2 linked regions of the Macaca mulatta genome follow. The protein of the gene in region 1 interacts with the protein of each later gene in a pairwise test. Links are inferred from orthologs where the notes say so. Each region holds a gene or a part of one and is shown in the gene's direction. Other genes may lie near its edges.

Region 1 (5,446 bases):
TCACAATCTGGCACACTACTCTCATCAAGTTTGTGCCCATTTCTGGGGCTGCCTTTGCGGATGAAGGATTTGCTTCGTTCTGGTTATAGAAGCTCCACAGCTTCTTGAGAGTGGGCTGGGAATACCCTTGACCCTGCACCTGGAGAAGGAGGTGTGAGAAAGATCTCTGGGGAAAGTCACAGAGACACCGAGAAGTGGAACTCCCTGAGCCTGGTGAAGACGTTGTCTGGAAAAAAAAAAGAAAAAAAGAAAAAAAAAAGACCTTGCCTCCCTCCATGTTTTGTTCCTGTATTTTTGCCTTTCTGTCTTCTAGGCTTCCTGTTACCTGAAACAGGGCAAATATGCTGAGGCTGAGACACTATACAAAGAGATCCTGACCCGTGCCCATGTGCAGGAGTTTGGGTCTGTGGATGGTGAGTGGTGAGGGCTTGGGGAAGGGGCTGTGGGAAAGAAAAGAAATGCAGACCAAAGGTCGGGGGTTAGGCCACAGTGGTTCCCAGGGGGAGCCAGACCCCTTCAGTCCAGCCTGTCAGCCTCTGGGTCCTGGCTCTCCGACACTGTCTAGCTCCGATCTCTAACCTCCCCACCCCGTGTATCACCCCCAGATGACCACAAGCCCATCTGGATGCATGCAGAGGAGCGGGAGGAAATGAGCAAAGTGAGTGGGGGGAAGGGGGGCCAGCCTGGGGAGCTCAAGGCTACCAGGGTCTCTGTCTTACTCCTTCCATTAGCCCAACTCACACTTCCCACCCCAGCACCAGCCCCAGATGCATGGTGTCCTCCCCAGCCCAGCCTGCACCCTAGCCCCATGCCACCGTGCATCCCAGCATCTCTGTATTCTTATCTTTGGCTCTCCCTGCCCTTCTCTCTGGCCTCTCTCTGTCCTGCAGAGCCGGCACCATGAGGGTGGCACACCCTATGCTGAGTATGGAGGCTGGTACAAGGCCTGCAAAGTGAGCAGGTGAGCTGCCAGTGAAAAGCCAGCTTGGCCTCTGATGCCCTCCATCCAGGCTCCCGGCCTCCCAGACCTTTTCCCTTCCTCCCGTAGACTTTCCCTGAGCTTTAGCTCTGTTCCCTCTCCTATTTTCTTATTTTTTTTTTCCTCTTGTCTTGCTTGGAAGACAAATGTTTTCTTTTCTGAACCCATTCTCTCTTCCTTCTCTGGTCTGTTTCTCACCACAGCCCCACCGTGAACACTACTCTGAGAAACCTGGGAGCTCTGTATAGGCGCCAGGGAAAGCTGGAGGCTGCTGAGACCCTGGAGGAATGTGCCCAGCGGTCCCGGAGACAGGTCAGAAGCCCAGAGGGGAAGGAGGTCCTTGAGGGAAGGGCCCTGGGGATGAGAGACTGCTGAGGTTTCTTGGGAGTCTCCTAAGAATAAGCGGAAAGGCTGATGAGGCCAGGAGGGAGAGGAAAGTGAGGCAGTGTTGTGATTGTGGTTGTTTTTAAGCGTGTTCTTACCCCCTACCTGCACTTTGTGGTCAGGACTCTAATTTCAAGATTCACTAAATGGGGATATGAAGGAGAAACCCTGCCCTTTCATAAGGAGGGGCCTGGGTGGTGTGGGTGAGAGGAGTGAGGTGGGGGAGAGCCTAAGTCAAGAATTTCTCAGATTGTGGGTCTCAATAGTAGGTTGTGAAATCAATTCAGTGTGGGCTATGGGGCTAAAAATATATACAGATCTATATATAGCAATGCATTGCAAATAGAAAAGGTGAGTATTGTTCCAGTAGGCATATACTGAGACATCACAAGGAAAAATGTTTTCCTTGCAGTGGCTGATGGTGAAAAAAATTTGAAAGCCCCATCCTGAGGAGTTAAGGAGTGGGAAGTCCCAGGTCCTTCCTTTTCCTTCCAGGGCACTGACCCTATCAGTCAGACCAAGGTGGCAGAGCTGCTTGGGGAGAGTGATGGTAGAAGGACGTCCCAGGAGGGCCCTGGGGACAGTGTGAAATTCGAGGGAGGTGAAGATGCTTCTGTGGCTGTGGAATGGTCTGGGGTAAGTCTGATCACTGCCTTTTCATCTCTCCTGCCCACTCCTGCTGGTGGTGGTGAGAGGCTCTTGGCTATGCTGTCCCAGTCTAGGTAGTGTATCCCTTCAGGGGTATCTCTGGGAGCAAGCTTTTGACCCGACTTTTATTTTCAGTCACTGGGCCTTGGGGGTGGGGGATGTGTGCAGAATAAATGCTGGGACTAGACTCAGAAACCCATCTGTGTGGGATCCCTGTAGCTTTCATAGCTCACCCCTTTCTGCCAGGATGGCAGTGGGACCCTGCAGAGGAGTGGCTCTCTGGGCAAGATCCGGGATGTGCTCCGCAGAAGCAGTGAAATCCTGGTGAGGAAGCTCCAGGGGACTGAGCCTCGGCCTTCCAGGTACACATGGAAGTCAAGATATGGTAAAGTGGCTGGGTGCTGTGGCTCAAGCCTGTAATCCCAGCACTTTGGGAGGCCGAGGCGGGTGGATCACCGGAGGTCAGGAGTTCGAGACCAGCCTGGCCAACAAGGTGAAACCTCATCTCTCCTGAAAATACAAAAATTAGCCGGGCGTGCTGGTGGGTGCCTGTAATCTCAGCTACTTGGGAGGCTGAGGCAGAACAATTGCTGGAACCTGGGAGGTGGCGGTTGCAGTGAGCTGAGATCATGCCATTGTACTCCATCCCAGGCGACAAAAGTGAAACTCTGTCTCAAAAAAAAGAAAAGAAAAAAAAAAAGATATGGTAAAGCAGGCAAGTAAAGTAAGCCCTTGCCTCCAACTCCTCTTGGCCCCTGATCTCTGGAGAGGTATCTTGGAGAGAAACAGGGAGGAAGTCAATGGGACAGCCATGGAGAGAGAGTTTGGGTAGAATGGGTGCCCCAACTTGGGGGATGAAGGTAGCTGAGATACTGGTTCCTGAGGCAGATAAGAAAAGTTGGGGGAGGGGATAGAGGGGAGGCAGTGATTTGATTTTGTGTGGCAGTGCTCAAGAGGCCCACAGCTTTAAGGCCACTCAGGAGGAAGAGAGGAGGCCTCATTTCTTCCATTTTCCATTGCAGCAGCAACATGAAGCGAGCAGCCTCCTTGAACTATCTGAACCAACCTAGTGCAGCACCCCTCCAGGTGAGAGCAGTGCTTGTGAGCATATTGGTGGGTGATGAAAAAAGAACAGCCAGTGAGCAAGCCCAGTGGAGTAAGGGAAGTGGGGAGAGGAGTCATCTGGGATAATGATGAGCCAGGGGATTGCAGTTATTAAGGAATCAGGCAGATAGCTTGTGGTGAGTGATGACCACCAACGGACAGTTTCAGGCCAGACATAGTAGCAAATAAGTTAATAAGGAGGGAAATAGGAATATTCTTTAAACTGGTACTTTGGAATTATGAATAATTTAAGAATTATTTGTAGATACTCATTTTTTCATCCTGCGGCTACCTTCATAGTAGATGAGAATGGAAAAAGAAAAGCATTAAATAATCCCCATCTGAGAAAACAGTAATGATATTTTAATGGCAAATGACTTCTTATATGAACACACTCAGAGTATATGCCAGTATTCATGTGGTTCTTCCAGAGAGCTTCTCCACCAGATTGTGGCCTTCTGGAAAACCCTAGCAGAGGCTAAACAAAGTCCCAGGTCCAGAGATAGACTGGTCCAGAGATGGATGTGATCCTAGGTCCAGAGATACACTGTGGCCATTGGATGGATGGACTCCAGGAGACAGTCTTTGGGAGGCTGAGGTCCCTGAACTGATGAGGTAGTGTTGTCTGTTTCAGGTCTCCCGGGGCCTCAGTGCCAGCTCCATGGATCTCTCTTCAAGCAGCTGACATTCAACCCAGTCCCCAGGTCTGCTGGGTCCCCCTACCCCTATAGCCCTCACAGCATTCCCCATTGCTCCTGGCTCTTCCCCACCCCTAGGTGGGACAGTGAAGGGGAGCAGTTTAACCAGAAGATTGCTGCTGCCCTTAGGGTTTCAGCTCCCTCCTCAGGAATCCCTCTTAGGAAGGACCCTCAGGACACCCTCTCCGCACCCTGTGGTCCTCTAGAGTAGCTAGCTCTGAGGCCCCCAAGGTGGGTACAAAGCAGGTATGGCCCTCAGAGATGCAGCCTGCTGCTGGCTTTTCAGTCAGAGGGTTGAGGGCTGGCCAGCCAAGCTGCCTTGCCTTGGCCGCTCTTATTCCCTCCCTCTGCTGTCTCACTTCAGGTCCATGTATTTCACTTTTCTTAAATAAAAGAATCAGGTAACCTTTCTGCGACTTGAGTCCTGATTGAAGAGGGTATGAAGCAGGGCTTGTGTTGGGGCCCTTCACAGAGGGTGAGGTGCAGTGATGGATGGGGCAGCAGGAGGAGTGTTGATTCTTGGATCTCTCTTCTCTTCCTCCCCTTGTTTGTATCATCTCCAGCAGGGCCTGTAGGAAGGCATCTGGGGGATGGGGAAGAAGGAGGCCCACAACCCAAGGAAAAGGTGCTGTGGACTGGGTTGTCAGGGACATGTGGTGGCCATGTGGCAGGACCCTGGAGTCCTGGCGCCACTTCTCCTGGCTGTGAGGCCCTCTGTGGCTGCCATTCGTTCTCCCAGCTGCTTGGGGGAAGGGAGGACTAAGCAGGCCTGGGGGGCCCTCCGGAGCCAGAGGGGAGACAAGGCACTATCCATCCCCTCTCAGCATATCTTGGAGGCCTGAGCAGCAGCTGGGGCCCATCTTCTAAAGCTTGACTCCTCCTGACCCGCCTCCTACACCCCTTGCTGCTTTCACAACAAAGAAAGAATGTGGGGGTGGTGGCGCGGGGGGTGGGGGGTGCCTGGAACAAGGGTTGTGCTGGGCCTCCCCACAGCTGGAGACTTGGCCATACCCTGACACAGCCCAGACTGCCTGGAGATGGACTTGGGATGAATTTGTCAGTTTAGCAGCCTTCAGCCTGGCTTTCAGAACCCAGCGTGTTTCTACCTTTGGGTTCAGATTGGTCTAGAGCCAAACCAGACCCCAGTCATGCACCCTTCAGCCCCTCTCCGGGCTACACAGCATCTTCAGGTTACTCTGCTGGGGGACATTAAGGACACCGTGCTGTTCTGGGTCTGCCTGTAAGATTTTGGGTTGCTGAAGAGTGGGTGGGGCCCACCTCTTCCGCTGCCCCCACTTGGAGAATTCTGGGGGAACTGTTGGCCAGAGCCTCCAGGTATGCACAGAATGGGCCATTCTCCCCAGGGTCCACGGCATCTCACAAGTCACTTAGGTTCTCCCGGATCCCTGCAGAGTCAGTGGTAGGTACAACAAATACTCCCCTACCCCTCTCAGGTCCCCTGCGCTCTCCTGAGCCTTGCTCTCTCTGTTCTCCATCCCTCTCCAGACCCCTCCCCCTACTGAGCTCCTCCCCGTCTCGGCGAGGAGGGGGCGTCGAGGGGGCGGGGCGCCGTGCGGGGGCCGGAGGGGAGGGGGCGTCGTGGGGCGGGGCTTGGCGGCGGCAGCGGCGGCGG
Region 2 (5,767 bases), on another chromosome or scaffold:
GTATTTGTTGTGTAGGTGCCAAAAATTTACTCCTTTTAATAGTGTCAATATTGATATCTGTCATCTGGAATGCAAGAATCTTCCTGAAAATTTGCTAATAAATGTAATACTACTGCCATACTGCCCAGAAATAATTTGTGTTTTTTTTGGGTGAAGTACCAGAATACCGTTTGGTCACTTACCTAGTGGCTTAAAGGAACCAGAGCATCTATCCAAAGGAGCCATTTAGTTTCCTCCCAGCACTTATGATTGAGCCTTTTTTGACTGTTTCAGAAGTGAGATTAGAGAAGTTTGTCTTGTTCTTTTGTCTCTTTTGAGGTTGAAGTTTAGGAGATTGACTCATTTTGGCCATTTTCTTGTTTCATTTTTACTGTAGGCAGTAACTGGGGCTAAAGCTCTGGGGAGGCACTTGGCTATGCTTGCTGAAGTATTTCCATAGTTGGACTGTCTCTGGCAAATAAGTAAATTTCATTTAAAGCTTTTCAAAGCTGTGTAAATCTTGGCAGAACCCCATAGAAAGCATAGCATATAGTTCCTTTTAAAACAACTATATTATTAAATGAAGAATTTGGGGAAAGCATATTGCTTTAATGGTCTTAATACCATTTAAAAAGATCCTTCTACATTAATATTCAAAATGTTTTCTAGTAGTGGTGGAAATCTTCTGCATCTACTAGTTCAAAGGTAGGCTTTCCCAGTCTTTTGGGATCTAGCAAGGATGTTTAGTCTTACCTGCAACTGTCCCTGCAAGAATGTAGATTTGAAGTTTTTAATAAAGTTGACCAGTTCATGTATTTCTGATGAATTAAATAGAGGAGAATGGCATTTGAGTAATCAGAAAATACTACCTTAAAATAATAAAATTTTGAAAGTGATGGCATTATAATGTTTTCAAAGCGTAATGATGTTAACTAAATTATCCAGTTACTGACTAGTACTTTTTTTTATACCTATCCCCAGGGAAGGAAGAATATGCAAGACGGTGCAAGTGATGGTGAAATGCCAAAATTTGATGGTGCTGGTTATGATAAGGACCTGGTGGAAGCCCTTGAAAGAGACATTGTATCCAGGAATCCTAGCATTCATTGGTTAGAGTCTTTGAAATTATTGAATTAAAGTAGAGGAGAACACAAGTTATAGGTTGGCTTGGTGTGAGTTTTCTCTTGTTATTCATTAATCTGATTATGACCACCTCTGTAATGTGAAAGTATAGAATTGACGGGAGAGTTCTGTCGAATGTAACCAGGACATTTTACATGTTAATTTGAAGTTGATATATAACTGACAAAAGTTGTTAATTCAGTGACATGTCCTCATTAATAACTAATGTTTTCACTGATGTTTTTATGCAGTAAGAATTAGACTAATGTTCTTAATATGAGAACAATTTCATAAGTAAAAAAAATTAGAAGAATTAGGTTTGACCATAAATCAAAGATCCCTGAATAAACATTATGAAACTTTGCTCTTCTTTCAAAGGGATGACATAGCAGATCTGGAAGAAGCTAAGAAGTTGCTAAGGGAAGCTGTTGTTCTTCCAATGTGGATGCCTGACTTTTTCAAAGGGATTAGAAGGCCATGGAAGGTGAGAATTTTTTAAATTGGTTTTGGTATAAGAATGCTGCTTGCATCAGAATGAAAGGCAGCATTGCTGTATTTTTGATGTATTTAACCCATTTTGAAAAGGTTGGGAGAAGTTTATATACACCCAAAACACCTGGATTTGAATTTGTATTGTGATGTGTTACATCTGCATAGTAGGAGAGATGGGCTTGGAGTGTTGAAACTATATAGTCTTTAGGTCACTTCCCTCAGGGATGCTGAGCTAGAGATTAGTTTTAAGAATTTTCTAGGTATATGGTTCTGTAAATAAAAAGTTAAGCAGATTAAGCAGAAATAATGCATAGTCTTATAGAATAAAGGTATGATCAAACAGTTATTTTTCAAAAGTTGGAATATTTCTCATTGATGGTTATTTTGTTTTACTTGTCACTGACTTGAAGCTCATTGTTGACTGTTTTATAGACTACATTTGCTATATTTTGAGTTTTCACAAATGTTTTTTCTAAAGAGAGGTCTTTAGCTGTGTTTTAAAAAACAACTTCTTGACCGGGTACCATGGCTCACCCCTGTAATCCCAGCACTTTGGGAGGCTGAGGAGGGTGGATCACGAGGTCAGGAGATCGAGACCATCCTGCCCAACATGGTGAGATCTCATCTGTACTGAAAATACAAAAATTATCTGGGCATGGTGGTGCGTGCCTGTAATCCCAGCTACTCGGGGAGGCTGAGGCAGGAGAATTGTTTGAAGCCGTGAATCGGAGGTTGCAGTGAGCCAAGATCGTGCAACTGCACTGCAGCCTGGCAACAGAGCCAGGCTCCGTCTCAAAAAAACAAACAAACAAACAAACAAAAAAAACCACTTCTTATATCATTACAGAATATCTGACTTTATGAATTTATTTTGTCCTTGCTGTGCTTTTGTAGTATTTATTGGCAAACTGGCTTAAGAAAATAAGATATATTTCTAAAGAATCTTTTTCCTGACCAAATAATTTTTTTTCTGCAACAGTAGAATAAAATTCTTGACTAGAACTATTATTATTTTTTTAAAAATCGTGTTTGAATTTTTTAGGGATTTGTGAGAATGGATTATTTACTAAAATGGGACAATAAATTTATTTAGTTTTTGAGACTGAGTCTTACTCTGTTGCCCAGGCTGGTGTGCAGTGGCATGATCTTGGCTCACTGCAACCTCTGCCTCCTAAGTTCAAGTGATTCTTGTGCCTCAGCCTCCGGAGTGGCTGCAATTACAGGTGCGTGCCACCACGCCCAGCTAAATTTTGTATTTTTGGTAGAGGCTGGATTTTGCCATGTTGGCCAGGCTGGTCTTGAACTCCTGGCCTCAAGTGATCCGCCCACCTTGACCTCCCAAAGTCCTGAGATTACAAGCATGAGCCACTGTTTCAAGCCTGATAAATGTATTTTAAAGAATACATGAAAATAAGGAGACCTTAGAAATTTTTCAGGTTTATAAAATTTGTCTCAAAACGTAAATTCCAGAATTTCAGAATTGGAATGAGTCTTTGAGATCATCTTAAATCCCCATTATTTGACAGACTAGAAAATTGAAGTCCAAATAGGTTGTGACAACCATAATAGACCTTTAGAAAATTTAAAATTCAATGTGTCTCAGCTTCCTATGTTTATATGTGCCTTTCCCTCCATAGCACACGTCTGCATTGTGTGATACCATTCCTTTATTCTTCAGGCATTTACTTAGCCCTGTTATATGTAAGGTTCCTTGTTTCTCAAGACAGAGTCCCTGAGCTGTGAGACATCCTAAACAGAGAGTTGGGCAGTTACAGATCGCTTTCAGCATTAGGCACTAGCAGAGCCTAATGGGTGGTACAGTCCACATGTGCTTGGAAAGCTCAGCAAAGCACAAACATGACATGATTAGAGAAGGCTTTATGCTTGAGGACGTGGGATTCAAGCTGCAATTTGTAGGGTTGTGAGGATTTCACTGTGTTGGAGGAGACATTTTGGAGATGTAGGAACTTGAGGGGGATGAATGATGTGAGCAGTGGAATATAGTGAGAAAGTGTAAGTGTGTTTGGGAATAGATGCGTTGACGTTTTGTAAGGAAGGCAGCATAGAATATTGGTAAGGGGCACAGATCCTGGATCCAGACTGGGTGCATACGAATTCTAACCATTTCCACTTATTCTGTGATCTTGAGCAAGTTATGGAACTTCTCCATGCCTCACTTTCCTTATCTATAAAATGGGAATACTAATAGTTATCTCATAGGATATAGTGAGGTTAAAATGAGTTAATGAGGCCGTAGAATTATGTAAATGTTGAAAACATAAATTAGTGGAAGATTCCAATGGGAAGGTAGGTTGAGGCCAGACTATTTCCCAGGAGTTCTATTCTTTTTCTGTAGATGTTTGGGAGACGTCTTTGAGCAGGTAGGTAGCATAATTAAACTGGTGAGTTGGAAAAAACAGTCTGGTTGCAATGAACACAGAAAGATGGGAGGCAAAGAGCATGTTCAGAAGTGATTGGCAGTAGTTTAGGCTTAAAATTCAAAGAGCCTGAATTAGGATGGTGATTATGAATTAGGAATGGAAGGACAGATGCTAGTGATATTTACTGAAGGAAGTTGGTAACCTTTTGGATGTAATATATATGTCAAGAAGAAGGCAGGGGTAAAGATAATTGGGTTTTGTCTGTGGCAGAATAGTGATGATAACATAAATGTGGAGCTCAGGAAGGAGAAAGACGCTGGTTTATTGTTCTTGATGTTGAAAGTTCAGTAGGAGCAGGGGGTGCTTCTGGGGGAAAAGATATGGAATTATTTTTGAGTTTTAAATTTTGGTATATTAACGTGGAAATGCACCAAGTTAGAAATACAGGGCCGGCCGGGCACGGTGGCTCACGCCTGTAATTCCAGCACTTTGGGAGGCTGAGGCAGGCGGATCACGAGGTCAGGAGATCGAGACCATCCTGGCTAACACGGTGAAACCCCGTCTCTACTAAAAATAAAAAATTAGCCGGATGTGGTGGCGGGCGCCTGTAGTCCCAGCTACTCAGGAGGCCGAGGCAGGAGAATGGTGTGAACCCAGGAGGTGGAGCTTGCAGTGAGCTGAGATTGCGCCACTGCACTCCAGCCTGGGGGACAGAGCGAGACTCTGTCTCAAAAAAAAAAAAAAAAAAAAAAGAAATACAGGGCTGAAGCTTGTGAGAGAAGTTAAAGACGGAGATATTAAGTGCCTTTTCAAAAATATGTATCTCTGGGATGAACTTTTCTGTAACAGAATAATAGCGAGGTCCTTCTTTATAAGTTTTAAGATCAGATTATATGATTTTTATAAAGGCAACATTTAAAATTTTACTTAGAAAATAAGGAGATGCCCAAGAAATAGACTACTGTATTTTCAGTGGCTGAAGTATAAACATATGCTTGAATCACTCTTACATTGAGACTCTAGCCATCTATCCATTTATCATCCAGCCTATCTTAGCACTTCTTAGACTGCGTCATAATTTATCTATCTATATTTTCTAATAGATTAAAAGTCTCTTGAGGATTTATGTGTGATTCCTGATAGATTCAATTTTTTTTCCTCAGGGCCTAGTACTTAGTAAGCATTGGATACATTTACACTGGGTAAATACATATTTATTGAGTATTTACCTTGTGTCACGTGATAGGCTAAGTGCGGAGGATACCAAAATGAGTGAATAATAATAGCCCCCAAGAAGCTCATGGTCTTTGGGTGAATAAGCATGTGTTTAATGGAGGCCATGTGTTAAGTGCAGTATTTGTTGAGGACAGTGTGACTAGTGTCTGAAAGAGTAATGAACTCACTGCTATGGCAGGAGAGAGGAGGAGGGACTTAGTCTGCTGTGGAGAATAATATCAGGGATGGCCTCCCAGAGCAGGTGACTCTGAGCTGAGACTTGAAAGATGAATAGAAGTTAAACAGGTAGATGTGATGAAGAAAGGCTCTAAGGCAGAGTGGATATCATGTACAAACACATGAAAAGTGTAAGAGAACATAGTATATGTGAGGAATCTTCTGTAGTTCAGTGTGGCTGGAAGGATAGAGTGTTTATATGGGACATAGTAACAAAAGACACTGCTGGAGTGGTTGGTGTGACCTACTTCTCACGAAGAGCCCTGCATGCCATGCCAAAGATGTCAGTGAGCCACTGAAGAGTTTTTAGTAGAAGGGTATTTGCAAGTGTAGGAAGATAT

Evidence for each region. The genes of interacting proteins can lie anywhere in the genome.
Region 2: the proteins of KLC4 (region 1) and KATNAL1 interact in binary tests that used the Homo sapiens proteins (3 or more experiments, as listed by UniProt). The two-hybrid records come from large-scale screens. The link is inferred for Macaca mulatta from reciprocal best matches to the Homo sapiens genes KLC4 and KATNAL1.

Annotation. Positions count from the first base shown.
Region 1 is NC_133409.1:139,052,741-139,058,186, reverse strand, and holds the end of KLC4 (kinesin light chain 4), read left to right. Parts: intron 1-313; coding exon 314-413; intron 414-605; coding exon 606-658; intron 659-890; coding exon 891-961; intron 962-1,182; coding exon 1,183-1,291; intron 1,292-1,775; exon of another isoform or gene 1,776-1,858; coding exon 1,859-1,999; intron 2,000-2,230; exon of another isoform or gene 2,231-2,257; coding exon 2,258-2,373; intron 2,374-3,033; coding exon 3,034-3,097; intron 3,098-3,749; coding exon 3,750-3,800; 3' UTR 3,801-4,222; downstream 4,223-5,446.
Region 2 is NC_133422.1:10,105,152-10,110,918, reverse strand, and holds part of KATNAL1 (katanin p60 ATPase-containing subunit A-like 1), read left to right. Parts: intron 1-960; coding exon 961-1,088; intron 1,089-1,479; coding exon 1,480-1,585; intron 1,586-5,767. UniProt on the Homo sapiens protein: Regulates microtubule dynamics in Sertoli cells, a process that is essential for spermiogenesis and male fertility. Severs microtubules in an ATP-dependent manner, promoting rapid reorganization of cellular microtubule arrays.